Anolis sagrei: one gene and its partners. The protein of the gene in region 1 interacts with the protein of each later gene in a pairwise test. Links are inferred from orthologs where the notes say so. Each region holds a gene or a part of one and is shown in the gene's direction. Other genes may lie near its edges.

Region 1 (7,835 bases):
CTCTTTTGGTGAGTAATGGATAGTGTGTATGAGATCCTAGTTTCATTCCTGTCATTTGTCATTTGAAAGTGGCAGAGCAAGGAAAGGTCGGAAGAGAATCAAATGGATAGCTCACTTCCCGAGATGTGCCAGCCCAGCGATCTGAATCCAGGCAAATTGGCTCTCCATCAATAGTTTCCTGTACTGAGCTTTGGAGAACTTCCTGAACGGCTATCATCCCACCTCTTCATCTGATCCCACTTAAGAAACACGAACACTCTCATTTCCAGGCAATCAGCCCAAGTTACATCTGCGGCAACCAAATCAAGGAAGAGTCATGCGGCTCCTTCAAGGCAAAGACATTTGTTATTGTTGTGTTATTAGTCACATTTAAACTTGTGGCAATATAACTACAGCCCACTGTGTCAGATGCATCACAAATGCCATAGAAAAGGGGATAAATTCAGCTCTCTTTGGAAAGGAAACCTTAAGTCACTTGATACAAACCTCAATAATGACAAATAACGTCATTTAAGGGTCTACGTAAATGAATGTTTGCTCCCAGCCCACAAGCTCATTCTGGTGCTGTTGTCTGATGCTGGCAATGGTCTGTGGACATTATGGGATGGAAAATTCACAAAGTTTTACGCATGCTCCGCATTGAGGTTGGCTTTTATAACTGGTTCAATGGTATGCAATCCTGGGATATGTAGTTTGGTGAGTCAGAAAAGGCTAAAGACCTTGTAAAACTTAAACTTCCAGGATTCCATAGCTTTGAGCCATGGTAGTTAAAGAGCAGGGTCAAACTGCACTGTAGAATGACTCCAGTTTGGCACCACTTTAATTGTGAACTTTAAATTGGGCACTGGTTGTTTTAGCATGTTGCATATGTTCTTTAAGCTTTTTTTCTGCCTCCCTGGAGACTAGGATGTAAAACAATGGCTTCAAACTACAGGAAAGGAAAATCCATCTGAATATTAGGAAAAACTTCCTGACTGAGAGCTGTTCAGCAGTGGAACTCTCTGCCCCGGAGTGTGGCGGAGGCTCCTTCTGTCAGGGGTGCTTTGGATGCCATTTTCCTGCTTCTTGGCAGGGGGTTGGACTAGATGGCCCACGAGGTCTCTTCCAACTCTATGATTCTATGATGTTTTAACAGACTTATGTGTTACATGTTTTGAACTGATGGCATAGATGAGAAAAGGCGGGTAAGAAGGTATTATTACTATTATTGTTGTTATTTTGAATGTTGTCATCTTCTGCCAGTAAATATATTGTTAGCCTTCTATATCCAGGGATTCAACATTCACAAATTCCACCATCCATTGCTTGGAAATATTTTGAAATTCCCAAAAAGGTAATCTTGAATTTGTCATTTCATATAAGTGATACCATTTTGTTATGCACTTGAGCATCTGCAGATTTTGGCATCCCTGGGGATTCTGGAACCAAATGGCAGTGTATATTAAAGGCCCACAGTTGCCTTCTCTCTCTGTAGGAAAAATGAGGCTGGCTTCTTCACTGTCACATTAATGCAGTTTGACACCGCTTTGACTGCCATGGCGCAATACTATGGAAAGCACCAGCACTTTTTGGCAGGGAAGGTTAAAGGCATTGTAAAACTACATATCCCAGTATTGCACAGTATTGAGCCAATGCAATTAAAATGATGCCAAACTGTATTAATTCTACAGTGTAGATCAGTGGTTCTCAACTTGTGGGTCCCCAGGTGTTTTGGTCTGCAACTCCCAGAAATCCCAGCCAGTTTACTAGCTGTTAGGATTTCTGGGAATTGAAAGCCAAAACATCTGGGGACCCACAGGTGGAGAAGCACTGGTGTAGATGCACCTCTTGTCTGCACAATAATGTATCTTCTAACAGGAAAGATGTACATCCGTCTCCGGCAGATGGCGCTACTTATCCAGAATTAGGTGTCCAAAACAGAAGGAAAAAATGAGAGTATTAGAGGGAGAACAGGGATGTTTGAAGAACATGATGTACAGGGAATGAAAACAAAACCCAAAGGTCTGGTTCATTAATTTCACTTTGCCAAGGATTGCAGCCCTGTTGCCACCCAGGGGGAAAACACCATCAGATTTTTATAAGGACCCTTTTGCACCACATAATGGCAACCCTTATGCTTCCACTGCAAGCAAGCACCATGATTAGATGGTGACAAGGGGTCATTCATGGGATTGCATTGTGTGACCCCCCCCCCCCGCTTTTAAAAATTAGGTGTCCCTTGGACTATCATACGGAGTCCTGGCTCAAAACGTACACCTGAACTGTAGAATGAATGCAGTTTGACCCTGCTCTTTAACTACCATGGTTCAAAGATATGGAATCATGGAAATTGTGGTTTTCCAAGTAGATCCTTTCTAGTATAGATGCCCCCCTGGCCAGGATGGTGGTTGGCCTCTCCTGTGTATTGCAAAATAGAGATCAAGATCATGGGGATGATGGGTTTGTGTGTGTGGAAGAAAGCAAGGGAATTAAGCCTTTGGAGCTTGTGGTGTATCTTTAGCCCTCCAAATGGGCAAACTTTGGCCCTCCAAATGTTTTGGACTTCAACTCCCACAATACCAACTGTTGAAGTCCAAAACACTTGGAGGGCCAAAGTTTGCTCATGCCTGCTCTACACTGATGAATGAATGCACTTTGACACCCCCTTTAACTGCTATGGCTCAAAGCTATGGTATCCTGGATGTATGTCGTTTGACGAATCACCAGCACTCCTCAATTCTATAGCATGTAGTGTGGCATTTCAAGCTGTGTTCATTCCACAATGTAGATGCACCCATGGGGTATATGTATATGTGGAAGAAGGCAGGAGAAAGGAGCCTTTGGAATCAGGAGGTGATGCTATGCTCTTAGAGGACCTTTGAAATCTCAGTGGCAACTTGGGGAATTGTGCAGCCAAAGTGGAGACATTCATCAGCTAGGGAACAGATTGGGTGATGAACAATGGAAAAAAGGGGGGGGGGGAGAGAAAAGGAGAGCAGTGCAATTGCCCCCCCCCCTTTAGTTGCCTCCCCTACTTTTTTGCCTTCCCCCTCCCTCCCCTCTTTTTTGGGGCCCAAGCCAACCCTCAGCCCTGTGGCAGGTGGAGAGTGCTGCTCCAAAGAGAAAGCCTCTCTTTGTCCGCCTTCCAAACGGCCACACGCCAGACCCAGGCCATTGTGGGCCTGCCATTGACATGCAAACGAAGAGCGTGTGCCGGCCACAATCTGCTCCAGGCAGCCCCCTCACCCCACCCCCACCCAATCCATTTCGGTGAACTTTGCAGGAACCTCACTTTTCATGCACTCCCCCCATCATCAGCACACACTTCTATTCTTTTCCTTTTGGGCAGCAAGGCACACTTGAGGTTGCAAAAAAGAAAAGAAAAAAAAGCCCATCTCTCCTTCCTCACACATGGTGGGGGGAAGAGTGAACCCTGAGCTGCAAAGTGGGGAGCAGGATCATGCCAGAAGCAGTTTTCAGGGCCAATTGTCGAATCCTAGGGTGCATCTACACTACAGCTTGACACCAGTTTGAACTGCTATGGTTCAGAGTACAACTATAGTGGAAAATTAGTGAGATGTGTCAACTCCCCAGTCAAACATTAAGGGTGCATCCCATTCTCCACTGCAGAATTAATGCGGCTTGCCACCACTTGAGCTGCCATGGCTCAATGATATGGCTTCCTGCAAGGTGAAGTTTTGCAAAGATATTTGCCACCTCTGCCCAAGGGTGCTGGTACCAAACTACAACTCCCAGGATTTCATAATAAGGCAGCTAAGTTGGGGTCAAACAATGTTCATTGTACAGCATTTATTTATTTATTTATTTATTTATCATGTCAGAAGTGACTTGAGAAACTGCAAGTTGCTTCTGAAAATTGGCCGTCTGCAGTGATGTTGCCCACGGGATGCCTGGATGTGTTACCATCCTGTGGGAGGCTTCTCTCAGGTCCCCGCATTGGAAGCTGGAGCTGACAGACGGGAGCTCACCCCGTCTCGCGGATTCGAACCTCCAACCTTCAGGTCAACAGGTCAGCCAGCACAAGGGTTTAATCCATGTGCTATAGATGCACTACAGCATAGACACACTCACAATCCAAGAGTTTGAACAGACCCAAAGGGCTATCCAGTCCCATTCTGTTGTGCAGAAATACACAATCAAAGCACCCCTGAGGGGGAAAACGGAAGGGGCCTGAGGCTGTTAGGAATGGTGGGAGTTGGAGTCCCAAACACCAGGAGGGACAAAGTTGGCACATGCTTGGTGTAGATGCACCCTCCACTCCAAGACATTATATCCCACTGTCAGAGCATCTTTGCAAAAGGAAAAAAGCAAGCCTTAGGGGGGGAAAAAGTTTTTCCTTTTTTAAAAATTTTTCAAAAACCTTTCCCTAACGAAAGCGTATTATTGCATATTTTAAATAATAATAAAATAATAAGCCATGCCACAAGTTGCACATATCCACAAGGAGACATTTCCCCCTTTGATGCCTACCCCCTCCCCTCCTTCCCTCCCCTTAATATTAAAGATCAAGTGCTCCGGCTTGCAGTTCCTGCCTAGTAACATGACAACAAAAGCAGCGGTGGCAGATTGGTAGCATTGTCATCTGCTCCCATTGATTCCTTTTCTCCTCCTTGTCTCTCTCCCCCCGCCTGCCTGCCTGCCTGCCTGCCTGCTTACCACGTGGCCTCCTGGCACGAGCCGTCTCCCCCCCCCTGCTCCCCGCCTGATTAGCATCACAATACTCCCAAGGGTTGGCCAATCAGCGCCGCCCTTTTCCCGGCAGCTGCCGGCGCCTCGGCTGGGCAGTCTATAAATACAGCGGGCGCCTCTCTCTTCCGCTCAGACGTCGCTGAGGACTTAAAGGAGAAGGACTGCGAGAGACACTCAGAGAGAGAGCGCATCGAAGGGCTTTGGGTTCCTTGGCTTGAGCAACTTGCTTTTTTCCTTTTTCCTCGGAAGATTTGTGGATAAGAGCCGCGTGGGTTTTTTTGATTCCTTTCATTTTTCCTCCTCTCTTTTGGACCATTATGACTCTGGAGGAAATCCACAGCCAGGAAGCGATGCCGGAGACTAGCGACAGGTAAGGATCTCTCTTCCACTTTGGCTTGTCTAGATAAGGGAGGGAGAGCTCGCTATTGAAGGCGATCAGTGGGGCTGTTTGGCACCAGAAGTGAACAGGGAGAGGTGGGACTCCTTGCTGATGGACAGGGGAGAGATTTCATGCCGGGAGAGTTGGGAATTGGCTGGGCTAATGGGTCGAAACTGGGAGGAACTGGGCTCCTTTGGCATCAAATGCCTCTTGAACTGCCATGGCTCAATGCTATGCAATCTCACGAGTTTAAGCTGGGTGAATCACTCTGCACTCTTTGGTGAATCACCAGCAGAGGAACTGAGGAACTTCTAGTCTCAGGATTCCATAGTATGGAGTTAAAGTGGTGCCAAACTGCATTAAAACTACAGTGTAGATGCACTCCTGTGTTTAGCATGTTACACTAACACAGGAGTGCGTCTACACTGTAGGTTTAACGGAGTTTGCTACACTGCATCTGCACTGTAGTTAAAGTGGTACCAAACTGCATTATACCTACAGTGTAGCTGCACTCCTGTGTTTACACTAAACACAGGAATGCATCTACAGTGTAGGTTTAATGTAATTTGGCACCACTTTAATGCCATACTATGGAATCGTGGGATTTGTAGTTATGTTTAGGAATAACAAGTCTTTAGCCAGGTTGGGTGATCTATTGAGATCTATCAAAACACACTAAACAGGAGTGCATCAACACTGTAGGTTTAATGCAGTTTGGCACCACTTTAACTCTCTACTATGGAACCCTTGGACTTGTATTTATGTTTAGGGATAGCAAGAGTCTTTAGCCAGGGCTGGGTTTGGAAAGAGATCTATTGAAGTGTGGGAATGGAGCAGGAATTGATCTCCCCTCCCTTTTCTCTCCCTTTTTAGCACAGCTAGCAGTGCCTCCACCAGCAGCAGGATGCAAAGTGCTGGCAAAGCTCTTCAGGAGCTCCTGATCTCTTCTCACCGCCGGGGTTGCCTCACCGCCGGCGTCTACGAATCTGCTAAACTGATGAATGTGTGAGTATCCAGGCATGGGCGCCTTGTTCTCCTTTCCCTAGTCTCTCCCACTTGCACAACAGCCCATCTCGGTTGCCGTGTGCCTCTAATAACCAGGCTTTTCTTTCTTCTTGTTCATTCCAGTGACCCTGATACTGTGGCCTTCTGTGTGCTTGCTGCCGACGAGGAGGACGAGGGAGACATTGCCCTCCAGATCCACTTCACCCTCATCCAGGCATTCTGTTGTGAGAATGACATTGACATTGTGAGAGTCAACGACATCCAGAAGTTGGCAGTGATTGTGGGTGCCACCAGCGAGGAGTCTGGGGAACCCCGGGACCTGCATTGCATCCTCGTCACGGTAAGTGTCTCGTTGTCTCGCCTCTTTCCACTGAAGGGAGGGTTTTCCGGAAAGTTGAGCTCACTGAGCACAGACGGTTGCAAAACAAAGTCCCAGTAAGGTCATGCTGTTTCGTAGTAGTTGGCTTTCATGCAGAACTTGGCAGAATCTGGGATTTCCTGTGAAATTCCCCCTTCCCTCCCTGCTTCCAGTGTACTTGATACCGTGTGACTAATAACATGTGGAAACAATCTCAGGCTAGACTTGGCTGGAGCCAATTGAGGCCACCAATTAACCACGATGACATAGTTTAAGTGCTTTTGTCAGTGGCACATTCCCATGCTATTGGGTCCCAGAAGTATGTTGGTAGCTGCAGGTGGGCTTTATCAACAAACAAACAATACTTGTCATAGAGAAATAGTATTCCTTATTTTTGGGATGCCATAGCTGTATAATCCCATTGTTCCTAGAAGCCCCCAGTGGTGCAGTGGGTTAAACCCTTGTGCTGGCAGGACGAATCTGGGGCGAGTGCAGATGAGCTCCCTCTGTCAGCTCCTGCTTCTCATGCAGTGACATGAGATAAGCCTCCCACAGGATGGGAAAACATCTGGGCATTCCCTGGGCAATGTCCTTGCAGACAGCCAATTCTCTCACACCAGAAGCAACTTGCAGTTTCTCAAGTCGCTCCTGACACAAAAAAGTAATTTAGAGATTTTTTAGAACTTCTGTAGTACGATGTGCTTTTGGATGAATAGGAAGCCTTTACTCATGAATTCTTTGTCTCTCCTGTTTGTTATAGAACCCCAGTGAGGATGCCTGGAAGGACCCTTCCTTGGACAAGCTGAACTTGTTTTGTGAGGAGAGTCGAAATGTCAACGACTGGGTGCCCAATATCACCCTGCCTGAGTGATGGTGATGATGCAGAAGCAATCCTAATGCATGAGGAGAGGTTGAAACCTTTTGTTGCATTACTCATCCAGGGAGTTGCACATCTCGGCAACCCAGCGAGTGGCTGATTTCTGGAGATTAGCCTGGTCAACAGCTTGGATTAAGGCGTTCAGAACAGCACGCAGTGGGCTCTTGTGGAGAAAGGAGAAGCGATGGAGGAAGGGGAGTGGCGGGTGCCTGGCGTCCCCCTCACAGTGCTGCAGCCCTGGAGAAGCTGGTGTGTCAGTGGAGCTGAAGAAGAACTGCAATTTTTTCTGACTTAAAGGAATGGAAGAAAGAAAAGACAGTTGCAGGTGTCTAGGTCAGGTGGAACACTTATGTTACGAAAGCAATGGAGAAAGTTGGAAAACTGGACACAGATGTTATGGGAAGATATGGACATGGAAAGGTTGATGGGGGAGATTCATAGTCCCCAGGAGACTGGAAGCTTTACAAGACTTTGGTATCCTTGTATTTCTACAAAGACTGTGATGCAGACTGATCTATATTGGAGGC
Region 2 (6,948 bases), about 130 Mb from region 1:
AAGGTCAACCATGCTTGTGTCAAAGTTCAAATCCTGGTCTCACAGATTCCTATGCACTCAAAACACTGTGTCATGTTGAGTCTTTACTAAAACCAACCAGAATGTAAAGGAAAGCATTTGAGTTCTCTAGAATTCCTTGCTTGGCTAGATGATACAATCTTGTTGGGAATGGGTTGGGGATTTCTATAGACTTTAAATAGTTGTAGAGACTGCTATTGTCTTTTTTATGTGCCTGGGTATAAGTTCTCTTGTTCATTGATGAATTTTATCTGCCCTTAAGTATAGTGGCCTTGGTGTCTGTTGTGGCTTATCAAAATCCATGGATGCTCAAGTCCCATGATATACAATGTATAGTGTAATGGTGTCCCTTGAATAAAATGGCAAAATGAAGTTTTGGGGAGGGGGCAGTGGTGGGGATGAATACAGTATTTGTGGATGGTTGAATCAATGGATTCAAAATTTGTGCATATAGAGGGCCAACTGTAATTCCTGCCATTTGCTGATCAAGCCAATCACATGTCAATCATAATGTTTACAAAGGCATAGGGCTATATAAGTATGGCTGGTGATAGTGTCTAGCCATTCTTTGAGAGAACTTTGAACCTTATCCATCTCCCAGGTTCAGTGATCTGTGCAAGCAAAAAGCAAAAGTTTCAGCTCCAAGCATCTGATGTGAGTTCTCTGAGGAATTATAGATGAGAGAGAGAGATACCTCAGTGTTTTGCTTGTGGGCATCTAATTGGCCTTAGAGAAGCAGGATACTGAGTCAACCATTCTAGTTTAGCTAGTTTCTCTTATGAGTTTTACTTGTGACTGCACATTTCACTGGAAAGGTTTGGAGTGCCCTCAAAGTATGACAGAATTGATAGGATGGATGTTTCCCAAAGAGAAAAGGGCATAGTGTCCAAAGACTATCTATGGACCCTTGCAGATAATTAAACACTGATGTTGATTTACGTATTAGACACCTGTTTTTGCTAGCAGGGGTGTATCCACAGTACACATTTTTACTGCTATGCCTCCATACATGGAATCTTGAGATTTATAGTTTTGGTGATATATTTAGAATATTCTGCTGGAGAACTCCAATGGTCTAGTTCAGGGGAGTGGAGTAGCGTTCTCCAGCTCAAAAACCTATGTACATCATTACCAGCTCCAAAATTCTTTAGGATGAAGCTATGGCAGTTTAATTGCTATGTCATTATAGGTCTTGTTTCTTTCTTTTATAGATATACTACCATTGTTGTCCAAGGAACTGGAACAATGAAAGAGACATTTTTGCCAAGGGCTGACAGTCTAATTTTTTAAAAGGGAATGCAAAGGAAGGAAAGTATCCATATAAATTCTGCAGTGTTGATACAGTCCAAGTATCATTTCTTGTGACTGTATTGTGCTGATCAGCATTGGCAAACAGGTTGTGATAAATGTTGCCTCCTTGCAGCTACTTGTAGGGGGGAAGGATTGCTTTCACCATGTATTAGTACTGAAACATCATTACATTTGAAGATTCATATGAGCACAATATGTGTGTTCAAATCCTTTCCATGTGTTCAGCATAGATTGCTCTGAAGTAAACGTGTATAGGATAGATGATAGGTAGCCTATGCTATTTCTGGAAAGAATGAATGATGACAGCTGCCTTAATAAATAGGCCTCCACTTCCACAGGGATTAAGGGTACAAAACCCCAATAAAAGTGGAAAGCCATGAAAGAAGTTTTTAAAAACCTAAGGTTACATTTCTCTAGCAATTCCCCAAGTCCTTCTGTGCAGTTCTATAGTCAGTATCTACTATATCTTGGTGATCTATTTTGAAAGATCATTTTGGGTGCCACAAACCCTCCAATCTAGTTTCAAGCCCCACTTTATCCCTCTCTGTCATTCTGGGGTTTGTGGGCTTCTGCTACTATCTCTATTTCTGCTTTCTGCTATGGCTGAAAAAGCCATAGAAAAGACCTTGAGAAACCTGACTTGGCCACGGTGGTCCATTCCTTAGTTACATCCCGACTGGATTACTGCAACACCTTCTACATGGGGCTGCTTTTGAAGATGGCTCAGAAACTGCAGTTGGTGGAAAGGTCGACAGCCAGGTTGCTAACTGGAGCTAATTATAGGAAGCAGATAAAGGGAGCAGATATAGGGAGCCCCTATTTAAACAGTTCCCCTGGTTACCGATAAGTTTCCGGTCGCAATTCAAAGTGTAGGTCATCACCTACAAAACCCTAAATGGTTCAGGTCCTGCCTATCTTCGCGATCGCATTTTCCCATATGAACTGACATGGACCTTAAGATCTGCTGCAGAGGCACTTGTCTCGCTCCCACCACCATCACAAGCACAGTTTGTGGGGACGAGAAAGGGCCTTCTTGGTGATGCCCCCACGGCTCCTTCCCTAGGGATATTAGGCTAGTACCCACTCCGTCTACCTTCTGTGGGGACCTCAAAACATGGATGTTCAAATGCATATTTGAAAATAGTTAGGCCCCTGCCTATGATTGCCCAGCTCTAATTGACTGTCATATAAAATCTCAGCACTTTACCCCAGCCCTCTCCCTATAATCTGGTTTTGCACAGGCCCATGCCCAACCCTCTCTAATTTTGATATGTCCACCATAGTCCTGGTTCTTGTTATTGAGATTGGCTTTGATTTATTCCAATGCAGTTTTTAAAATTTACTGTTTTAATTGTGTAATTAGATTGTCATATGTTTATTGTGAGGTTTTTTTTGTTATTTTCCATTTTTATTTTTTTCAAATCACAACACAAAAAATTGTTCCAAACTGAGAAAAAGTTTCATTTTGTTTTTACATATAAAAAAATTACGTATAAAAATAAAAATGTTTATTGTGTTTTTAATGTGTTTTTACTTGTCTAACTTTTTTGTTATTGTGCTTGATCCCGCTTGTAAGCCTCCTCAAGTCCCTTCAGGGAGATGGTGGTGGGACATAAAAATAAAGGTATTATTATTATTATTATTATTATTATTATTATAGTTCGTCTAGAATAATTGTCTGTAATACCAGGACAATGGTACAGTGGCTGCTTTTGTGGATTGAAGCCTCATCCTACTGTTTTCCATGAGAGTAGGAAAGAATGTGAGACGTTTTAACATCTTAACCATGAATAGTGCAAAATGGAGAAATCTTGAGCCAGCAGTGTTCCCAGCCTCTCGAGGATATACAGTATGCCTTCTAAATCTAAGGCTCAGTTACATGTTGCTGTAGAACCAGTACACACCCATTACGTGAGAGATGCTGCATGGCCAAAAAGATGAGGCATGGAAGATCCATGATGAGATGTTCTGATGTTTTCCTCTTAGTTCATGTTGTATGCCTGCTGCACTGATGCTGAAAGAGAAGGATAATTTCTCCTTCTTAGCCATTTCCTCACTCAAAGTGATGATTAATCCCACAATTGAACACTGTACTGTATGTTTTTTGCAATATAGTTTCTCATTTCTACCTGTGGAATCAGTGATATGATCAAATGTTGTAAAACAGTTTATTTCAAGCAGCAATTTGGTCCTGTATTGTATTCTCTTAACTTTCTGTTGGATCCTTAATATCTTGAATTATACAATGTTTATTTTTTAAAATTGCAAACAGATTTTTCTCTTTTGTTGCAATGCTGTGGGTTTGTTAGTTCATTTGTTTGACCCAAGAGCCAAGTGATGTAACATAGAGGACCCTTTAATTACTTGTTTGTGCTTTCTTGGGTCCTGGTCAGGAGCATGTGGGCCTGCCCTGCCGTACAGAAAGGGTGACATTAGATTGGGTGGGAGGAATCCTGAATCATTCTTGATTTGCTGCCTAACATCCACTTTGGGAATTCCACCCTCTCCTAAAATGCAGCCAGATTTAAGGGTGTGTGTGGTGAAAGAGGGAGGGGCAGGGATGGGATCACCCCCCAGCTGTTCCTGACCAAAGCACATTGCTCTCCCGCACATTGCTGCAATTCTTTCCTGGGGAAACTGAGCCACTGCAAAAGCCAGAGAATTAATGCCATGGCCACTCTTCAGAAGCCCATCTCAAATAGCAGGAATTGACTCTACTTTCACCTCCATATTTGCTCTATGCTTTCTGGGTTTGGAGGTCAGTGTCAAGGTTTTAACATGGGATCTGTGGCAGGAGGTGAGTGTTAAGTAGAGACCAGAGTTGTCCATGTTTGCTTGCATTTTCTTGTGTGGGCTGCTACTTACACAATACAACTTTGGCTTTGTGAGAACTTTCTCTCCCTTGTAATTGTGTTTTGACGTTGCTGCAAGAACTCGCGTGCACCTATGCAGTAGTTGTTTCTATAATGCTAGGTCCATGGGAAATTCCATATATCCATACTATGTGTCTTTGAGGTGAGTGGAGTGATTAAACCTCTCTGGGTTTCAGTCTGAACTTTAAAGGAAGTGCCCAAGATGTTTATTTATTTATTTATTTATTTGGTACACTTGTATACCGCTAATATCTCAGCCTATGCGGCGACTCATTGCGGTTTACAATATATTTAAAACAACAATATTCCGATTTAAAAATATAAAATAAAATATAAAATACATACATATACATACACAGTATTGGGCCACCAATACAGACCGGTACATCTCATAATTAAAATCATAATCCAATTCGTTATCTGTGATTGCTAGTCCATGATCAAAGTCAACTTCCACTGAAAAGCCCTTTTAAAGTTCAGAGCTAACATCAGGAGACAATTCATGAAGCCACTAAAGTCTGAGCCACCAAGTGCCACTAATTCATATTTACATTTGTACTATGCAGTTGTTTCTAGACCTTTGTGATCCTCACAGTGTCCTCTATGAATGGAATCCTCTTATATTGTGTGCAGTGATGGAAGCACACAACCCAAAGAAAATTATCTGAATGAACAGTGATCAACTTTGGGTCCAGAAATATTTTGTCCTTTATCTTCTAAATGATTGTAAATATGGGACAGAGGGAATGTGCAGCTACTAGAAAGCATACCAATGTTCTGGCACTAAGATTCCACTGAATCAGGTTGTATATTATTATCTTTCTTTGTGGTTGGGGTTTTCAAAGAAGTGATGAACTAAACAGAGTTCATTGCATTGTGTTAAAGTTCAGCTAGTTTTTTTCATATGTGATGGTTCACTGTAAATTTGCTCCACTGATATAGTAGGAAATTTTGGAGTGCAGCCACCTGTTATGACAGTCCCCATAGCCATGACCCCGAGGAGGACCCAAAAATGCCAGCATTTATATTCATCCATATCAACAAACCAGTTCCATCCCTTTTCAACTCTACTGGGAGCAGATGTTTTGTAAAATTAGTGGGTCTTAATTGTGCATTAAAGTCAGGCCAAAATGCCTTTTCATTACAACATGGAAACTCACAAAAATACCTTGCAACTTTGAAAACTCACTTTTATGGTGTGGGCTGCTACTAAATACAAAATGGTAAGAGAAACATAAGGGAAGATGCCAGATGAAATTGTCAGCCTTGCTGATGAAAGATGCCAATCTTTTGTCCTTCAGAGCTTTGACTGTTGGGCTCCCACTGTAATAGAAAGAGTAAGCAAGAAGATGATGAAAATGGGATATTTGGGATAGTTGCTTGATTGAGACCCAGACTTTTAACAACGGTACATTGAACTGTGGCTCTTTAGAGAATGGGGTTAAATTTCCTGCTCAGCCATGGAAACCCGTTGGTGATCCCTTAGGTAAATCATACACTCTCAGCCCCAGAAAAATCTGTGATAGGTTCACCTTAGGTTCACTATGTTGGGAATGACTTGAAAACACACAACCTTTCTCTCCATACTGAGAAAATGCTTACAACCTTATTTGCACATTTATTTGTGATTTGTTTTTATGATAAAAAAGTAATTAATACAGGAAGAACTGGCAGGAAGTGCTGTCATAAACAGTGGCCTTGATACTGCACCTGATTCTCTAGCAGCATTCCCCAGTGGGTGGAAGTCGAAGGGCTGGACTCACCTAAAAATAACAATATGACAAAGCTCACTCTCATCCTGTTCACAGTTGAGAGAAGTACTGGAGTACAATTCATGTACTTTAGTGCTGCTTCTCATCCTCCACCACACGTATAGTAAGACAGTGGAAAGTCTTTGGTTACTGCACAGCTGTTGTGGCCATACAGGTTTACTTTCTTGTAGATCATGTTACAGACAGCAGAGGTCTGCCCAGGAATAAGGACAGTAGTAGCAGTCCATGTCTATTTCCCAAGTTGCTATGACAAACAGATTATGTGAAAGGCATTTCTGAGGGGTACTCTAGAGCAGAGGCAGCCCTAGGTAATTTTCAACAGTAAGGAAATAGTATTTTGCCCCCCCCCCCCCCCACCAATCACTGATATATATTTTCTGTTCGTCGTGGGAGTTCTGTGTGCCATGTTTGGTTCAATTCCATCATTGGTGGAGTTCAGAATGCTCTTTGATTGTAGGTGAACTATACATCCCAGTAACTACAACTCGCATATGTCAAGGTCACTTTTCCCCCAAGAGTGCCTCAAGAGTGCCCCTGGGCAAAATCAACTATACTGCAAATGCTTACTTTGCGTAATGGGTTGAGTCGCCCCTGCTCTAGAGTTACTTAAAACTAAACAGTGGAAAGTAAAGTTGTATAAGCATGGAAAAGTTGAGTCTTTCCACACATACATATACCATTTTCAGAAAGCATTTATTTGGGAAAGCTGACCAAATAAATAATTTTGATATTGTTCTTCTTCATCTTTTGTGTTAGGAAGTTTTTGTTGTGTTGCATTTGTCAAGATGCACTGAAGTTGCTGATGCTTCCTAGTTGTGTTTCTATGCATTTAAATAAAAAAAATCAGTGGAAAGAAAAAGATGACCCCTGTACCACAGTTTCATTAATCCACATCTGATAAAATATGTCCTCTAGGCATTTTCTAGATGCTCCAGTGCAACTCTGTGGTATTCTTAGACCGGATAGGCTTCATT
Region 3 (7,753 bases), on another chromosome or scaffold:
GGCTTTTGGTTGTTTATATTGTTAAATTACTTCTTACGGTTTTAAATTGATGTATTTGTACACTGCCCCAAAACAGAGTAAGATATAAATATTTTAATAAATAAAATTTATATCGAATATTGTATATTTATGTTCTGGCAGTTTGGCATGGACTCACTGTTTTACAGCATTTTATTTTGATTTGTGCTAAATCAAAAGTAAAAATCATTTTATTATGAAGTTTCGTTTCAAGAAGAAATGCAAGCTGTTTTTAATACCACACTTTCACACTGCTTTGTTCAATATCCAAAGAGAAATATGACTCAAGGACATTTCTATGCCTGTTATGAAACCCATAGGGATTTATAGTTCAAACAATATGTGATACAACTGTACAAAGGGTGGGGTGGCGGGCTAAGAGAAAAAAATCCTAAAAACTACAGTTAATACCACTTGATTTTGTTTCCCAGGCAATTTATATTTTGGAAATATTTGAACATGAAAAAGCAGGTATTGTAAGCGAAGACTGTTTTAAGTGTGGTGTGCAGCTTAAGAAACCTAGTGTATGAAGATAAAAATGTGAAAAAACAAGCTGCTTAGAAAACATTTCAGTTGAGTTTACTTGGAGATAACAAGAGAATTGTCAAGAATGGAAATAAAGGAAATGTGGCCAATAGAAGATCAGGGCAGAGCTTTAAAGCCATAATTGCATAAAACAGAGAAAGAAAGCAGTGTACAGGTTGTATGTGTTGATATATATTATGCAGGTTTTCGAACTCACATAATTCTTTCATCAGGCATGGCTATTAAAAGTAACAACAATGGAGGGTCACAGAGCTGCATCTTTTTTCAGATGTTAAAGCTGAGTTTGAAATGACTGAAGATTTTGTGCAGGTAAAAGCCACATCCTTGTCAGCCATGACACATTCAGGATACAAAAGCTGAGAAAAGCAATGAAATGATTTTTCCCACTAGAAATCAAGGCAGTTCTTTACAGACCCATCCCCTATGCTTTGCAAGACAAGAGGAGGTGAAAACCTCAGAGGGTGAGTCCCAGTCCATGTGCTCCTCCTTGCTCACGATTCCTGAATTATTCTAGAATACATAGGGGATTAATGTAGATTAAAATCAGCCAGGCCATCAATTTAAACTTCCATAACATGAAATAGATGATTTTTGCAATACCGTGCACAGGGAAATATGACAGGACATATTAATTTTCTGTAAATGTGTGTGTATATATAGCATATTGTTCAATTTTACCTGATTATGGAGGGGAACACGGATCAGACCATAGCAATCCTTAGATGGAAGGCGACCAGGGGAAAGCAGAGGTCTTTCATTAAGGTTGAATAGAATCCTGTCTGAAACAATATAGAGTTGATGCCAGCTAGAGGCGGGAATATTTAGCTAGACGGTCAACATTCAAAACAGGTGTATGGGATGCCTTGCATAACAGTTCACGTGTACACACGTACCTATGACTGTTCTATTTTTTGTTCTACAGTCTGGAATTGAAATGGATTTAACTGGCATTTTACCAATTCATATAAAGAAGACACTTAACACTATGAAGGCACAAAATATGAATGTAGCACAAAAGTGAAGTAAACAAAACCAAAGTGCCACTTCCTGATTATTCTCTTTTATTATGACATGTAAGCAAGATTTACTACATTGTGCTGCCTCCAGAAGTCAAAATGGTATCTACTGAAAATCCCAGTATTATATAGACTCAGACTCATAATAATGATAATAATAACTTTATTTTTATACCCCGCCTCCATCTCCCCAAAGGGACTCAGGATGGCTTACACGGGGACAAGTCCAAGTGAACATGGTTAAAATATAACATATTAAAATATCTAAACATCAATATAAAACAAAAACAGAAAACCAACATTATAACAAAATATGAGAACAAAACATCAAATCAAAATCAAACCAGTGAGCTCTATGATAATATTTATTTAATTATTTACTTTATTTCTATTTATTTAATTATTTATTTTTGCAGTGTAATACACTTTTTCCATAGCATGGTTTTATGGTAGAACCAGTTAGGAAATGACAAAAAATATGTTTAATAGTGTAATCAGTTCTAGAACAAACACAGCTCTAGAACAAAGTAAATTCAGACAACTCTTCATGTTTTACGCTACTTCATACCAGTATGTTTATATACCTTAGTAAAAGTAAAGGTTTTCCCCTGACACTAAGTCTAGTGTCCAACTCTGGTAGGTGATGCTTATCTCCATTTCTAAGCTGAAGAGCTGGCGTTGTCTGTAGACGCCTGCAAGGTCACGTGGCTGGCATAACTGCATGGCTTAAAGATGGACTCAAAGCCAACCTTAAAAACTGGCATAGACACAGAACTGGAAAGCCCTGCCCCTTGAGTGCTCCAGCTGGAGATCAGCTATGACCAGCAGTGCTGCAGAATTTGAAGTGGCACGAATGGAGGACAAAAGAGAGAAACGTGCCAAGAGGAAGGTGCGTCAAGCCATCCCCGACTGAGACCACCTTCCACCTGGAAACCAATGCCCTCACTGCGGGAGAAGATGCAGATCAAGAATAGGGTTCCACAGTCACCTACAGACCCACCAGTACACTGACGTTGGAAGACAATCCTACTTGGACAACGAGGGATTGTCTAAGAGAGAAGAGAGATAACTGCATAGAGTGCGGTTACCTTCCCACAGAGGCAGTACCTACTGATCTACTCACATTTGCATGTTTTCAAACTGCTAGGTTGGTAGAAGATGGAGCTAACAGCGGGAGCTCACCCCACTTTCTAGAGTCAAACCACCAACCTTTCGGTCAGCAAGTTCAGCAGCTCAGTGGGTGGCCAAATCTAGTGATTTGGAAAATAAAGTAATGAGAAAGTGTTTGTTTCTAATATATGTAATTTCTTTATGCTTGTGGGTAAACAGTATTTCTTGCTGTTTCTTTGTCAGTTTTGATGTGGAGATTGTCTGGTTTGCCTACTCAGGAACATGCAGCATATCATTGTCCTTCTTTAGGGGTCCGTTTCAAATCTATGATACTATAACTCTGTGTGTGTGTGTGAATCATCTATCTATCTATCTATCTATCTATCTATCTATCTATCTATCTATATCTATGGTTGGATGGCTCTTTGTGAGGAGGGTTCCGATTACATTTTCTTGCCCTGGTGAAGAGAGTTGAACTGGATGGCCTTAAGTATTTTCTGTTTGTCATGGGGGTTCTGTGTGGGAAGTTTGCTCCAATTCTGTGGTTTGTGGATTCAGAAAGCTCTTTGATTGTAGGTGAACTATAAATCTCAGTAACTACAAATCCCAAATGTCAAAGTGTATTTCCCCCAAACTCCATCTGTGTTCATATTTGGGCATATGGAATATTTGTGCCAAGTTAGGTCCATCATTGCTTGAGTCCACAGTGCTCTACAACTCACAAACTCAAGGTCAATGCCTACCAAAACCTTCTAGTGTTTTCTGTGGGTCATGGGAGTCCTGTATGCCACGTTTGGTTCAATGCCATTTTTGGTGTTCAGAATGCTCTTTGATTGTAGGTGAACTATAAATCCCAGCAACTACAACTCCCAAATGACCAAATCAAAATTTTTGAGTGAAGGACATACATTGGATTGTGAGTTGTATTGTGTTCAAATTTGGTGTCAATTGATCCAGTGGTTTTTGAGTTCTGTTAATCCCACAAACGAACATAACATTTTTATTTCTATAGATAGATTAGATAGATATATGCCCTATATGTTTTATTGAAAGGTTCACAATTGGTCCTTACATAGTTTGCATATATAGAATCATAGAATCAAAAGTTGGAAGATACCTTGGGCCATCCAGTCCAACCCCCTGCCAGGAAGCAGGAAAATTGCATTCAAAGCACCCCTGACAGATGGCCATCCAGCCTCTGTTTAAAAGCTTCCAAAGAAGGAGCCTTCACCACACTCCGGGGCAAATTTCCACGGCTGAATGGCTCTCAGTCAGGAAGTTCTTCCTCATGTTCAGATGGAATCTTCTTGTAGTTTGAAGCTCCAGGGAAGCAGAAAACAAGCTTGCTCCCTCCTCCCTGTGGCTTCCTCTCACATATTTATACATGGGTATCTTATCTCCTCTCAGTTTTCTCTTCTTTGGGCTAAACATGCCCAGCTCTTTAAGCCGCTCCTCATAGGGCTTGTTCTCCAGACCTTATATCATTTTAGTCGCTCTCCTGTGGACACATTCCAGCTTGTCAATATCTCTCTTGAATTGTGGTGCCCAGAATTGGACACAATATTCCAGGTGTGGTCTAACCAGAGCGGAATAGAGGGGTAGCATTACTTCCCTGGATCTAGACACTAGGCTCCTATTGATGCAGGCCAAAATCCCATTGGCTTTTTTTGCTGCCACATCACATTGTTGGCTCATGTTTAACTTGTTGTCCATGAGGACTCCAAGATCTTTTTCACACGTACTGCTGTTGAACCAGGCATTGTCCCTCATTCTTTATCTTTGCATTTCAAATTCTTGATAACGCAAAAAAGACAGTTCTAATTTGGAGGGGAAAATTATTTTCTCCCCAAAAAGGAAGTAAACCCCCAAACAGGAATTCCAAACGTCAAACTGGAAGTACTTCTTGCAACTTCCTGGAAACTATTCCCAGTGAGGTCGGGCGGGAAGACAGGAAAATGGCGCCCCCTTGACTAAAAGCAAGGAGGGAACAGCGCTGGATCCGGAAGTGAGTGCGCAAGAAGCTGTTTGTGATTGGCGCTCAGGGATCCGCGTCACAAAGTAGCCTTGCCGGAAGTCTCCAGGGGCGCGGAAGTACGTCAAAAGCTCCGGGTAAAGAGTTAAGCCATTGGGGTTGAGGGCGCGCTGCTCTTGCTGTGGTTGCCGCCATGTTGGGGCCGCAGTGAAGGGCCTAGCGCGTGACCGACCCAGGAGGGATGGCGCTGAGGATGCCTCTGGCCGCGGAGGGGGACACCAGGCCTGGCGCCGCCTCGCCGCGGTGAGTCGCAAAGCAAGCTTCGCCCTCTCAAGGAGGATCCCAGGGAAAAGAGCCTGGCTTCCGAGCCGCGGGCGCCCCACAGCGCCCCCTAGCGCCCACCTCGCTCCCAGCCTCTCTCGCGCGCCCCCAGTGGCCGCCGCGGGATTGCAGAGGAAGTCATTGCATGGGTTGCATGATTGGGGGGCACATCTGAGTCTCTTAAGGCAGGCATGGGCAAGCTCCAGGTGTTTTGGACTCCAACTCCCACAATTCCTAACAGCCTCAGTCCCCTTCCTTTTCCCCCACAGCCGCTTGGCTGAATTAGAGACTGGTTGTGTTTATTGATTTTTAACCAGTGGGATTGTATGGTGTTATGTTGTTTGTTATTGTTTGTTGTTGTTCAGTCGTCTCCGACTCTTCGTGACCTCATGGACCAGCCCACGCCAGAACTCCTTGTCGGCCGTCACCACCCCCAGCTCCTTCAAGGTCAGTCCAGTCACTTCAAGGATGCCATCCATCCATCTTGCCCTTGGTCAGCCCCTCTTCCTTTTGCCTTCCACTTTCCCCAGCATAATTGTCTTCTCTAGGCTTTCCTGTCTCCTCATGATGTGGCCAAAGTACTTCAGCTTTGCTTCTAATATCCTTCCCTCCAATGAGCAGTCGGGCTTTATTTCCTGGAGGATGGACTGGTTGGATCTTTTCGCAGTCCAAGGCACTCTCAGAACTTTCCTCCAACACCCCAGTTCAAAAGCATCTATCTTCCTTCGCTCAGCCTTCCATAAGGTCCAGCTCTCACATCCGTAGGTTACTACAGGGAATACCATGGCTTTGACTAGGCGGATCTTTGTTGCCAGTGTGATGTCTCTACTCTTTACTATTTTATCGAGATTGGACATTGCTCTCCTCCCAAGAAGTTGTGTGTTTGCACCTGAGTGCTTTGTGAGCCGCCCCAAGTCCCTTTGGGATATGGCAGTGGGATATAAATAAAGTTTTATTGTTATGTTCTTTACTCGAGTTTTTATGCCTCCTTCCTCAGAGCCTGTTACTTTCAGATATATATGATGTGTTCAGAATACAAGTTAAACAGGGTGATAAAAGGCAGTCTTGCTCAACCTCTTGCCAATTGGAAACCATTCTGTTTTTCCATATTTGATGTAATGGTAGCCTCTTATCCAGAACATGAGTTGTACATTACGATAATCAAGGGTGAGGCAGCATAACTTCCTTTTTTCAAAACTTAATAAAACCCATTGTATGAATCAGTTTTTTAATGTATTGTCAAAGGCTTTCATGGCCGGAATCACTGGGTTGTTGTAGGTTTTTTCGGGCTATATGGCCATGGTCTAGAGGCATTCTAGGAGAGAAGGAGAGAATGCCTCTAGACCATGGCCATATAGCCCGAAAAAACCTACAACAACCCAGAGTTTTTTTTTTAAAAAAAATTATAATGTAGGCGCATACCTAAAGTTTTGTTTTACATAGTTTTGAAGATCAAATTAGGTAGGTGACGTCCTCCATACACTGAGTAAACCAATTTCTGGTGTTTGTCATGACTCTTGCCAGCATAGCAGCGTTATGTTGGCAATTTCTTCCTGGATCTTGGTCTTCAAATCTTGTAGGGTCTTTGGACAGTTCACATAAACACGAGATTTCAAAAAAACCCCATAGAAAAAAATCCCAAGGGGCCAAATCTGGAGAGTGGGCCAGCCACTCCAAATCCGCTCAAAAAGTAGGCCTCAACGGCAAAAGCACACTCCTCACTGTTCCAACGCATGATGGCGACTGAACTGCGTCAGGACAAAACTTTACACTCCCGCCTCCCAAACGAGACAACTAGCACTCCCCTACGTCTTCAACCGACTGAATGGCCCGCATTTTAAAAAAGAAAGTTATGCTGCCTCACCCTGTAGTTGCACCATCCATTCTTTAAGAACCATCCCTGGCTTTTCGTTATCTGTAATGAAAGATATTGCTTTAATCTATTAAATGCACAATGATTTTATTATGAAATTTATTGGGGTGCTCCATTATTTAATATAGGTTTTCCATATGAACTGTGCCTCGGCATGTAGGCCAGAATAATCACGATACATGAGAAGTTGTTACTTATGTTACTTTTTTTTCTTTTAAGTATTATAGGTCATGTATATCATGTAGTTTCAGCAGCTGGATTGGATGGAAAGAACCTCCGGAAGTGTCATCCAGTTTCTAGACCTCTAAGAAACGATGTTCCCTTGCATCAGTCTTCGGTTGTAACTGATAATATGAACAGAAATGTTTCAAGACCTGGTCATAGTAATTTGCAGGATTTGTTTGCAAATACTGCTACATCTTCATTTGTTAAAGACACTGAGTGTAAGAAGGCTGCATCTGGAAAATTGATTCTACCAAAGCTGTTTGGTCAAGTGGAAATGATTGATGCCTCTGTTATAAAGGAGAATCCAACTACACCGATAATTTCTAGCATTGTAAAAGATAATCCAACCACTCCTACCAGTTATAGCCTTCAGAGTAATTGCAGTTCTACTGATGTATCACCTTTCCCAAATGAACCTGCCATGATTGGCTCAGAAACAAGCAATACCAGCTACGTACTTGTGAATGCAAACAGATTTCCTCTCGCTCCAAAGTCTCAAGTACCTCCTTCTAAACATCCTCTTCAAATACCAGCTCATGAAGAAGTTAAATCTGTTCCAGCTTCTTTACTGCTACCTTCGATTCAACAGAATACTTTGGTTACATCAGTCTCAAATGCTTCTGAGGCTTGTGACATTAGGAAAGCACAAACAGTTATTTATGTGTCACCAGT
Region 4 (7,747 bases), on another chromosome or scaffold:
TCAACAACCTAAAGCTCATCTGCCGGGCCCACCAGCTGGTCCACGAAGGCTACAAGTTCATGTTCGATGAGAAGCTGGTGACGGTGTGGTCGGCCCCCAACTACTGCTACCGCTGCGGCAACATCGCCTCCATCATGGTCTTCAAGGACGTCAACACGCGAGAGCCCAAGCTCTTCCGCGCCGTCCCCGACTCCGAGCGCGTCATCCCCCCGAGGACCACCACGCCGTATTTCCTCTGAGACCCTCCTCCCATATTTCCCTTCTTCTCTTTCTGTGTGACATACTTTTTATTGAGCACTTTGCTGCTGAAATGCTGCCTCTTGCCTTGTTCTTTTTTATTTTTAAATTATATCTAAATGTGTTGTACATTGTCGTCAGTGACGCGTCTCTTTTCGACCTCCCTCTGCGCAGAATAACAAAAAGCTATTTCCCTTTCCAAGAGTGCTCAGAGCACTTCGCTGTTTTATAATGCTTCTCGATTTCTCTCCATTTTGTTCTGTTTTGATTTCCCTCCCTTTTCCAATAAAATACAAACCGAGCCAGAACTAGTCCGATCTCCTTATTCCACGCGAATATTTATCTTGAGGATAGAGTTTTAAAGAAATTTCAGCAGCAAAGTGGTATTTATGTGCGGCAATGGGACTTTCTAAGTCCATCTAGATATATACGAGGGAACGGTCGTGCTTTATATTTTGCTTTGAGCAGATAGAAATAAGTGGGTTTGAAAAAAGGATGTCGCTTATTTCGTTTTTCCTGTCCCTCGAAGACTTGTTTTTTTTTATGTTTTAGGGTTCCAAGAAAAAGCAAAACACGCTACAGGTATTTGGATTTGTACATTAAAATAATTGCTCTGATTTTTCTCTCAGATACCTTGTATTTTTAATAAAGTCGTATCCAGAAACCCGTGCCTCTGGGTTAAAACGTTGGAAATAAAAACATATGTTGTTGATGGGAATGTCATGGCTTTTCATTTCAAAATTGAGCCATTATTATTATTGTTATTATTAACAAAGATGTATTATTGTTGTTATTATTAACAAAGATATATATTACTTAATACTGGGAAAGGGAAACGCTGCACATTACAAGTGGTGAACCTGACTCAGCACACAGACCAGGGCAAATGCTTGATGTGTCCACTGGAGGGTGGCAAAGGATTACACGTAAAAGTCCTGGGCAGATAGATGGCTATAAAGCTTCAATGGAGGGTCAGAATACCGGGGGGGGGGGGGGGGGGGCGCAAAGCTCGATGTGGAGGCGGGCAAAGGATTGCACATAGGAGTCCTAGGCCAATAGGTGCCTCTGAGGGTTGAATGGAGGAGCCGCTCTCAAACGTAAGTTCTAGGTCTGGATAAGGATTCCACTGTATATAGGCTTCAGGGATACATTCAATAAGAAAAATCATACAAACACAGTAAGCATTTAGTCATGAGGCTCTATGTAGACTGAAGACAATAATGAAGATGGAGCACCACTCTCAAAACAATCTTCATGGAAAAAATCCAAATCAAGTCCAGTGAAAGCACTGCTTCTCAAAATAAGTCTTCAAAGGAAAAGTCCAAATAGCATTCAACAGGGGTGCCCGGGTATTTTTGTACCCTGTTTCGGGGAAAGCAATCCCCTTCCTCAGGAGTTGATAAAGTCAGCAACTCTAGACTCTTATCAATAATAAGAGCCTAGAGTTACTATATTACTCTTATCTATAATAAGAGTAATATAGATATGTCCACTGGTCACCTTATATCTATTTATATATTATTATTTCAGGTTGTTATTCTATATACATAGATGTATATATGCACACATAGTGACCAGAGGACTTATTATTATTATTATTATTATTATTATGTCCACTGGTCACCTTATATCTATGTATTATTTCACGTTCTTATTAATTATATAGTGAGCAGAGGGCTCTATTATTATTATTATTATTATTATTATTATTATTATTATTACTATAATTACTACCATATGCCAGCAAATATGGAAAACACAAGAATGGCCATCAGACTGGAAAAAATCAACTTATATCCCCATACCAAAAAAGGGAAATGCGAAAGACTGCTCAAACTTCCGTACAGTGGCCCTTATTTCTCATCATGCCAGTAAGGTAATGCTCAAGATCCTGCAAGGAAGACTCCAGCAATACATGGAGCGAGAGTTGCCAGATGTTCAAGCTGGGTTTAGAAAAGGCAGAGGAACGAGAGACCAGATTGCCAATATCCGCTGGATAATGGAGAAAGGCAGGGAGTTTCAGAAAAACATCTACTTCTGCTTCATTGACTATTCTAAAGCCTTTGACTGTGTGGATCATAATAAATTGTGGCAAGTTCTTGGTGGGATGGGCATCCCAAGCCCCCTTCCCTCTCTCCTGATGAATCTGTACAAGGACCAAGTAGCAACATTCAGAACTGACCACGGAACAACAGACTGGTTCAAGATTGGGAAAGGCGTTCGGCAAGGCTGCATCCTCTCACCCAACCTTTTTAACTTGTATGCAGAACACATCCTGCGATGTGCGGGGCTGGATGAATGCAAGGCTGGGGTGAAAATTGCTGGAAGAAACATTAACAACCTCAGATATGCAGATGACACCACTCTGATGGCCGAAAGCGAGGAGGAGCTGAGGAGCCTTCTAATCAAGGTGAAAGAAGAAAGCGCAAAAGCCGGGTTGCAGCTAAACATCAAAAAAACCAAGATTATGGCAACAAGAATGATTGACAACTGGGAAATAGAGGGAGAAAATGTGGAGGCTGCGACAGACTTTGTATTTCTAGGTGCAAAGATTACTGCAGATGCAGACTGTGGCCAGGAAATCAGAAGACGCTTACTTCTTGGGAGGAGAGCAATGTCCAATCTCGATAAAATAGTAAAGAGTAGAGACATCAGACTGGCAACAAAGATCCGCCTAGTCAAAGCCATGGTCTTCCCTGTAGTCACCTACGGATGTGAGAGCTGGACCTTAGGGAAGGCTGAGCGAAGGAAGAGAGATGCTTTTGAACTGTGGTGCTGGAGGAAAGTGCTGAGAGTGCCTTGGACTGCGAGAAGATCCAACTAGTCCATCCTCCAGGAAATAAAGCCCGACTGCTCATTGGAGGGAAGGAGACTAGAGACAAAGTTGAAGTACTTTGGCCACATCATGAGGAGACAGGAAAGCCTAGAGAAGACAGTTATGCTGGGGAAGGTGGAAGGTGAAAGGAAGAGGGGCCGACCAAGGGCAAGATGGATGGATGGCATCCTTGAAGTGACTGGACTGACCTTGAAGGAGCTGGGGGTGGTGACGGCCGACAGGGAGCTCTGGCGTGGGCTGGTCCATGAGGTCACGAAGAGTCAGAGGCGACTGAACGAATAAACAACAACAACAACATAATTACTACTTTACTATAAATATACTAATATAATATATATTACTATTATATCATATTATTAATATTACTAATATTGTGATTATTAAGTTCTCTGGTCACCATATATATATATATATATTCCTATTATATCATATTAATATTATGATTATTAAGTTCTCTGTTCATATATATATAATTATTACTATTATATTAATATTACTAATATCATTATTAAGTTCTCTGGTCACCATATATATATTATATTACTATTATATTATATTATTAATATTACTAATATTGTGATTATTATTAAGTTCTCTGGTCACCATATATATAATATTACTATTATATTATATCATATTATTAATATTATTATGATTATTAAGTTCTCTGGTCACCATATATATATATATATATATATATATATATATATATAAAATTATTACTAATATATAATGTCATATTAATATTACTAATATTATGATTATTAAGTTCTCTGGTCACCATATATATATAATATTACAATTATATCATATTAATATTACTAATATTGTGATTATTATTAAGTTCTCTGGTCACCATATATATATATATATATTACTATTATATTATTAATATTAGTAATATTATCATTATTAAGTTCTCTGGTCACCATATATATATATATATAACTATTATATCATATTATTAATATGATTATTAAGCTCTGTTCGTATGTGTGTATATATATATATATTATTATTACTATTATATCATATTATTAATATTACTAATATGATTATTAAGTTCTCTGGTCACCATATATATATTACTATTATATTATATTATATTATATTATAACGGTGCTCCGTGCAGTCATGCCGGCCACATGACCTTGGAGGTGTCTATGGATAACGCTGGCTCTTCGGCTTAGAAATGGAGATGAGCATCAACCCCCAGAGTTAAACATGACTGGACTTAATGTCAGGGGACTAACTTTACCTTTTATTATATTATTTATATTACTAATATTATGATTATTATTAAGTTCTCTGGTCACCATATATATATATTCCTATTATATCATATTATTATGATTATTAAGTTCTCTGTTCATATATATATAAATTATTATTATTATAAAATTATTATTATTACTATTGTATTATATCATATTAATATTGCTAATATTAAAGTTATTATGAGTAATGATAGTAATAGTTCACTGTAGTAAATATTCACCAACCTGCCTTAGAAATGAGAAGCAAGTGGTTGGATTAGGCAAGGCGTGCTGAGGTCACGTGGCTGGGAAGCCCCACCCACTTCTCCCCAGGCTTTGGCCGCGCCCATCCTTTCCCGATTGGCTCTCCCTCTCGCCCCCTCCCCGGCGGGCGGGGTTTCCGTTTCCGGGGAGAATCACCACAGAAGGTCGGTGGCAGCCGAGAGGGAAGGAGGTGCCGCTTTCTCCTCCTCGTCTTCCCTCAGAGGGAAAGGCCTTCCCGAGCAGGCCCCTGGCCATGGCGCGGAACTCGCTCTCCTCTCGCTTCCGGCGCCTCGACATCGACCAGTTCGACGAGAACCGCTTCGTGGAGGAGGCCGACGGGGCCGAGGCCGGGAGCGGGGCCTTGGGGGCGGCCGAGGACGAAGGCGGAGGAGGGCTGCGCGCCGAGGTGGAGGCCGCCCTCAGGCAATATCCTTCTTCCCTTTGGGAGCCGGGTAGAATCGGGCAGGGATGGGCCAAGTTGGTACCTCAGGGTGTTTTGGACTTCAACTCCCACAATTCCTGGCCTCAGCCCTCTTCTTTTTCCCCTTCAGCCACCATGTATATTATATATCAATATGGTGACCAGGGAACTTAATAATAGCCGTAATATTAGTAATATTAATAATTAGAATATGATATAATATAATATAATAGTATTGGTATAATTATTATAATAGCAATTATCGTAATAATATTAGAGCCCTCTGCTCACTATATAATTAATAAGAACCTGAAATAATAAATAGATATAAGTGACCAGTGGACATAATAATAATAATAATAATAAGTCCTCTTGTCACTATGTTTGTATATATACAGCTATGTATATATAATAACAACCTGAAGTAATAATATATAAATAGATATAAGGTGACCACTGGACATAATAATAAGTCACTATATACATATATACACACACACATCTATCTGTATATAAGAACTACCTGAAATAATAATATATAAATAGATATAAGGAGACCAGTGGACATCATAATAATAATGATGATGAGTCCTCTGGTCACTATACACACACACACACACACACACATATCTATCTGTATATAAGAACTACCAGAAATAATAATATACAAATAGATATAAGGTGACCAGTGGACATAATAATAATAAGTCCTCTGGTCACTATGTGTGTATATATACATCTATGTATATAATAACAACCTGAAATAATATATAAATAGATATAAGGTGACCAGTGGACATAATAATAAGTCTTCTGGTCACTCTCTATATACGCACACACACACATACACACACACACACACATCTATCTATATAATAACTACCTGAAATAATAATATATAAATAGTTATGAGCTGACCAGTGGACATAATAATAATAATAATGTCTTCTGGTCACTCTGTCTCTATACACACACATACACACATATCTATCTATATAATAACCTGAAATAATAATATATAAATAGATATAAGGTGACCAGTGGACAGAAGAAGAAGAAGAAGAAAGAAGTAGTAGTCGTCATCGTCGTCTTCTGGTCACTATATATACACACACACACACACACACATCTATCTATATATAATAACTACCTGAAATCATAATATATAAATATATATAAGGTGACCACTGAGCATAAAAATAATAATGAGAACAATGGAATAGACTCATAGAAGCCTAAAGTTGGAAGGGACCCCTCGGCCATCTAGTCCAACCCCCAGCCAGGCAGGAAAAGCACAATCAAAACACCCCTGACAGATGGCCATCCAGCCCCTGTTTCAAAGTTCCCAAGGAAGGAGCTTCTACCAGACTCGGAGGCAGAGAGTTCCACTGTTGAACAGCTCTTACACTCAGGAAGTTCTTCCTAATGTTCAGGTGGAATATCCTCTCCTGTCATTTGAACCCATTGCGTCCACAAGCCTGCTCCCTCTTCCTCAGGACACGCTTTCACATGTTTATCCATGGTTCTCATGTCTCCTCTCAGCCTTCTCTTCTGCAGGATAAACAGACCCAGCTCTTTGGGACACTCCTCATAGGGATTATTCATGGTCTCCAGATCCTTTTAGTTGCCTTCCTCTGGACACCTTCCAGCTTGTCAATATCTCTCTTTAATTGTGGTGCCTAGAATTGTACACAGTGTGATTCCAGGGAAAGAGGTTTAACCAAAGCTGAATAGAGAGGCAGTATGACTTCCCTTCATGTCCTCTGTTTTGTGTGTTTTAGTATGTATTTTGTAGAGGCGCCTTTTGTTGTTTAACTTTTGCGGAAGTACATTTTCCTGTGTGTATTTGTACTGTTGTTGTTTTTGCTGCGTTATGTATTTATTTTAATGATTCTTAACTGGGAATGTTTTAAAATACGATTTCTATTTAATCTTGTTTTCATGTTGGTATATTTGTGTATTTTAAATGGCTATGCTGGAGCTTTTATTTGCTGAGTTCCCTTTGGGGGAAATAAAGTGGGGTAATAATAATAATAATAATAATTCACACCATCAGAGATTTGTAGTTTCTCAATTTGCTTCACACACGATATAATAATAATAATAATAATTATTATTATTATTATTATTTAATTATTTTGTAATAATAATAAATCTTTATATCCCACCTTTCTCCCTCACGTGACCCAAAGTGGCTTACAATATATTAAAATAATGTAAACAACAATCCATATACATTGATAATAAGTATAAAATGTCATAAAATAAGCAGTTTAAAATAATAATATACATTCATATTCTTGCAACCTGGCTCAAGCCACGAGGAGAGGTGGGTAAGAAATAAAATTATTATTATTACAATAGAGTCTCGTTTATCTAACCTTTGCTCACCTAACGTTCTGTATTATCCAACGCAGTCTACCCCTTACCCGCAGAAGCGGCACCTATTGATCTACTCACATTTTTGAACTGCTAGGTTGGCAGGAGCTGAGGCTAACAGCTAGAGCTTTTCTTTTCTACATTTATTTATTTATTTATTTTATTTTAACTATTTTGAGTGTGGGGCAAAGTTTTTGTGCATTGAACCATCAAAAAGCAAAGGTGTCTCTTAGCCAATCATTTGGACAGTTTTGGATGAGGCATGCTCAACCTTTTTTGAAGAGGTTTTGACCTTGGAGAGCAGCCATCGAGTATTACATTCACAAGGGAAATGAATGGGCTGAATCACTGTTA

Evidence for each region.
Region 2: the proteins of GADD45G (region 1) and AFAP1L1 interact in binary tests that used the Homo sapiens proteins (3 or more experiments, as listed by UniProt). The two-hybrid records come from large-scale screens. The link is inferred for Anolis sagrei from reciprocal best matches to the Homo sapiens genes GADD45G and AFAP1L1.
Region 3: the proteins of GADD45G (region 1) and LRIF1 interact in binary tests that used the Homo sapiens proteins (3 or more experiments, as listed by UniProt). The link is inferred for Anolis sagrei from reciprocal best matches to the Homo sapiens genes GADD45G and LRIF1.
Region 4: the proteins of GADD45G (region 1) and ARPC5L interact in binary tests that used the Homo sapiens proteins (3 or more experiments, as listed by UniProt). The link is inferred for Anolis sagrei from reciprocal best matches to the Homo sapiens genes GADD45G and ARPC5L.

What each region holds. Positions count from the first base shown.
Region 1 is NC_090022.1:234,504,304-234,512,138, forward strand, and holds the start of GADD45G (growth arrest and DNA damage-inducible protein GADD45 gamma), read left to right. Parts: upstream 1-4,818; 5' UTR 4,819-5,006; coding exon 5,007-5,059; intron 5,060-5,941; coding exon 5,942-6,073; intron 6,074-6,196; coding exon 6,197-6,413; intron 6,414-7,191; coding exon 7,192-7,302; 3' UTR 7,303-7,835. UniProt on the Homo sapiens protein: Involved in the regulation of growth and apoptosis. Mediates activation of stress-responsive MTK1/MEKK4 MAPKKK.
Region 2 is NC_090022.1:102,222,608-102,229,555, forward strand, and holds the start of AFAP1L1 (actin filament-associated protein 1-like 1), read left to right. Parts: upstream 1-3,940; 5' UTR 3,941-4,068; coding exon 4,069-4,126; intron 4,127-6,948. UniProt on the Homo sapiens protein: May be involved in podosome and invadosome formation.
Region 3 is NC_090024.1:205,699,854-205,707,606, forward strand, and holds the start of LRIF1 (ligand-dependent nuclear receptor-interacting factor 1), read left to right. Parts: upstream 1-4,733; 5' UTR 4,734-4,903; coding exon 4,904-4,965; intron 4,966-7,075; coding exon 7,076-7,753. UniProt on the Homo sapiens protein: Together with SMCHD1, involved in chromosome X inactivation in females by promoting the compaction of heterochromatin.
Region 4 is NC_090031.1:6,399,373-6,407,119, reverse strand, and holds the start of ARPC5L (actin-related protein 2/3 complex subunit 5-like protein), read left to right. Parts: upstream 1-4,731; 5' UTR 4,732-4,846; coding exon 4,847-5,019; intron 5,020-7,747. Other genes in the region: PPP6C (serine/threonine-protein phosphatase 6 catalytic subunit), read left to right, coding at 1-239. UniProt on the Homo sapiens protein: May function as component of the Arp2/3 complex which is involved in regulation of actin polymerization and together with an activating nucleation-promoting factor (NPF) mediates the formation of branched actin networks.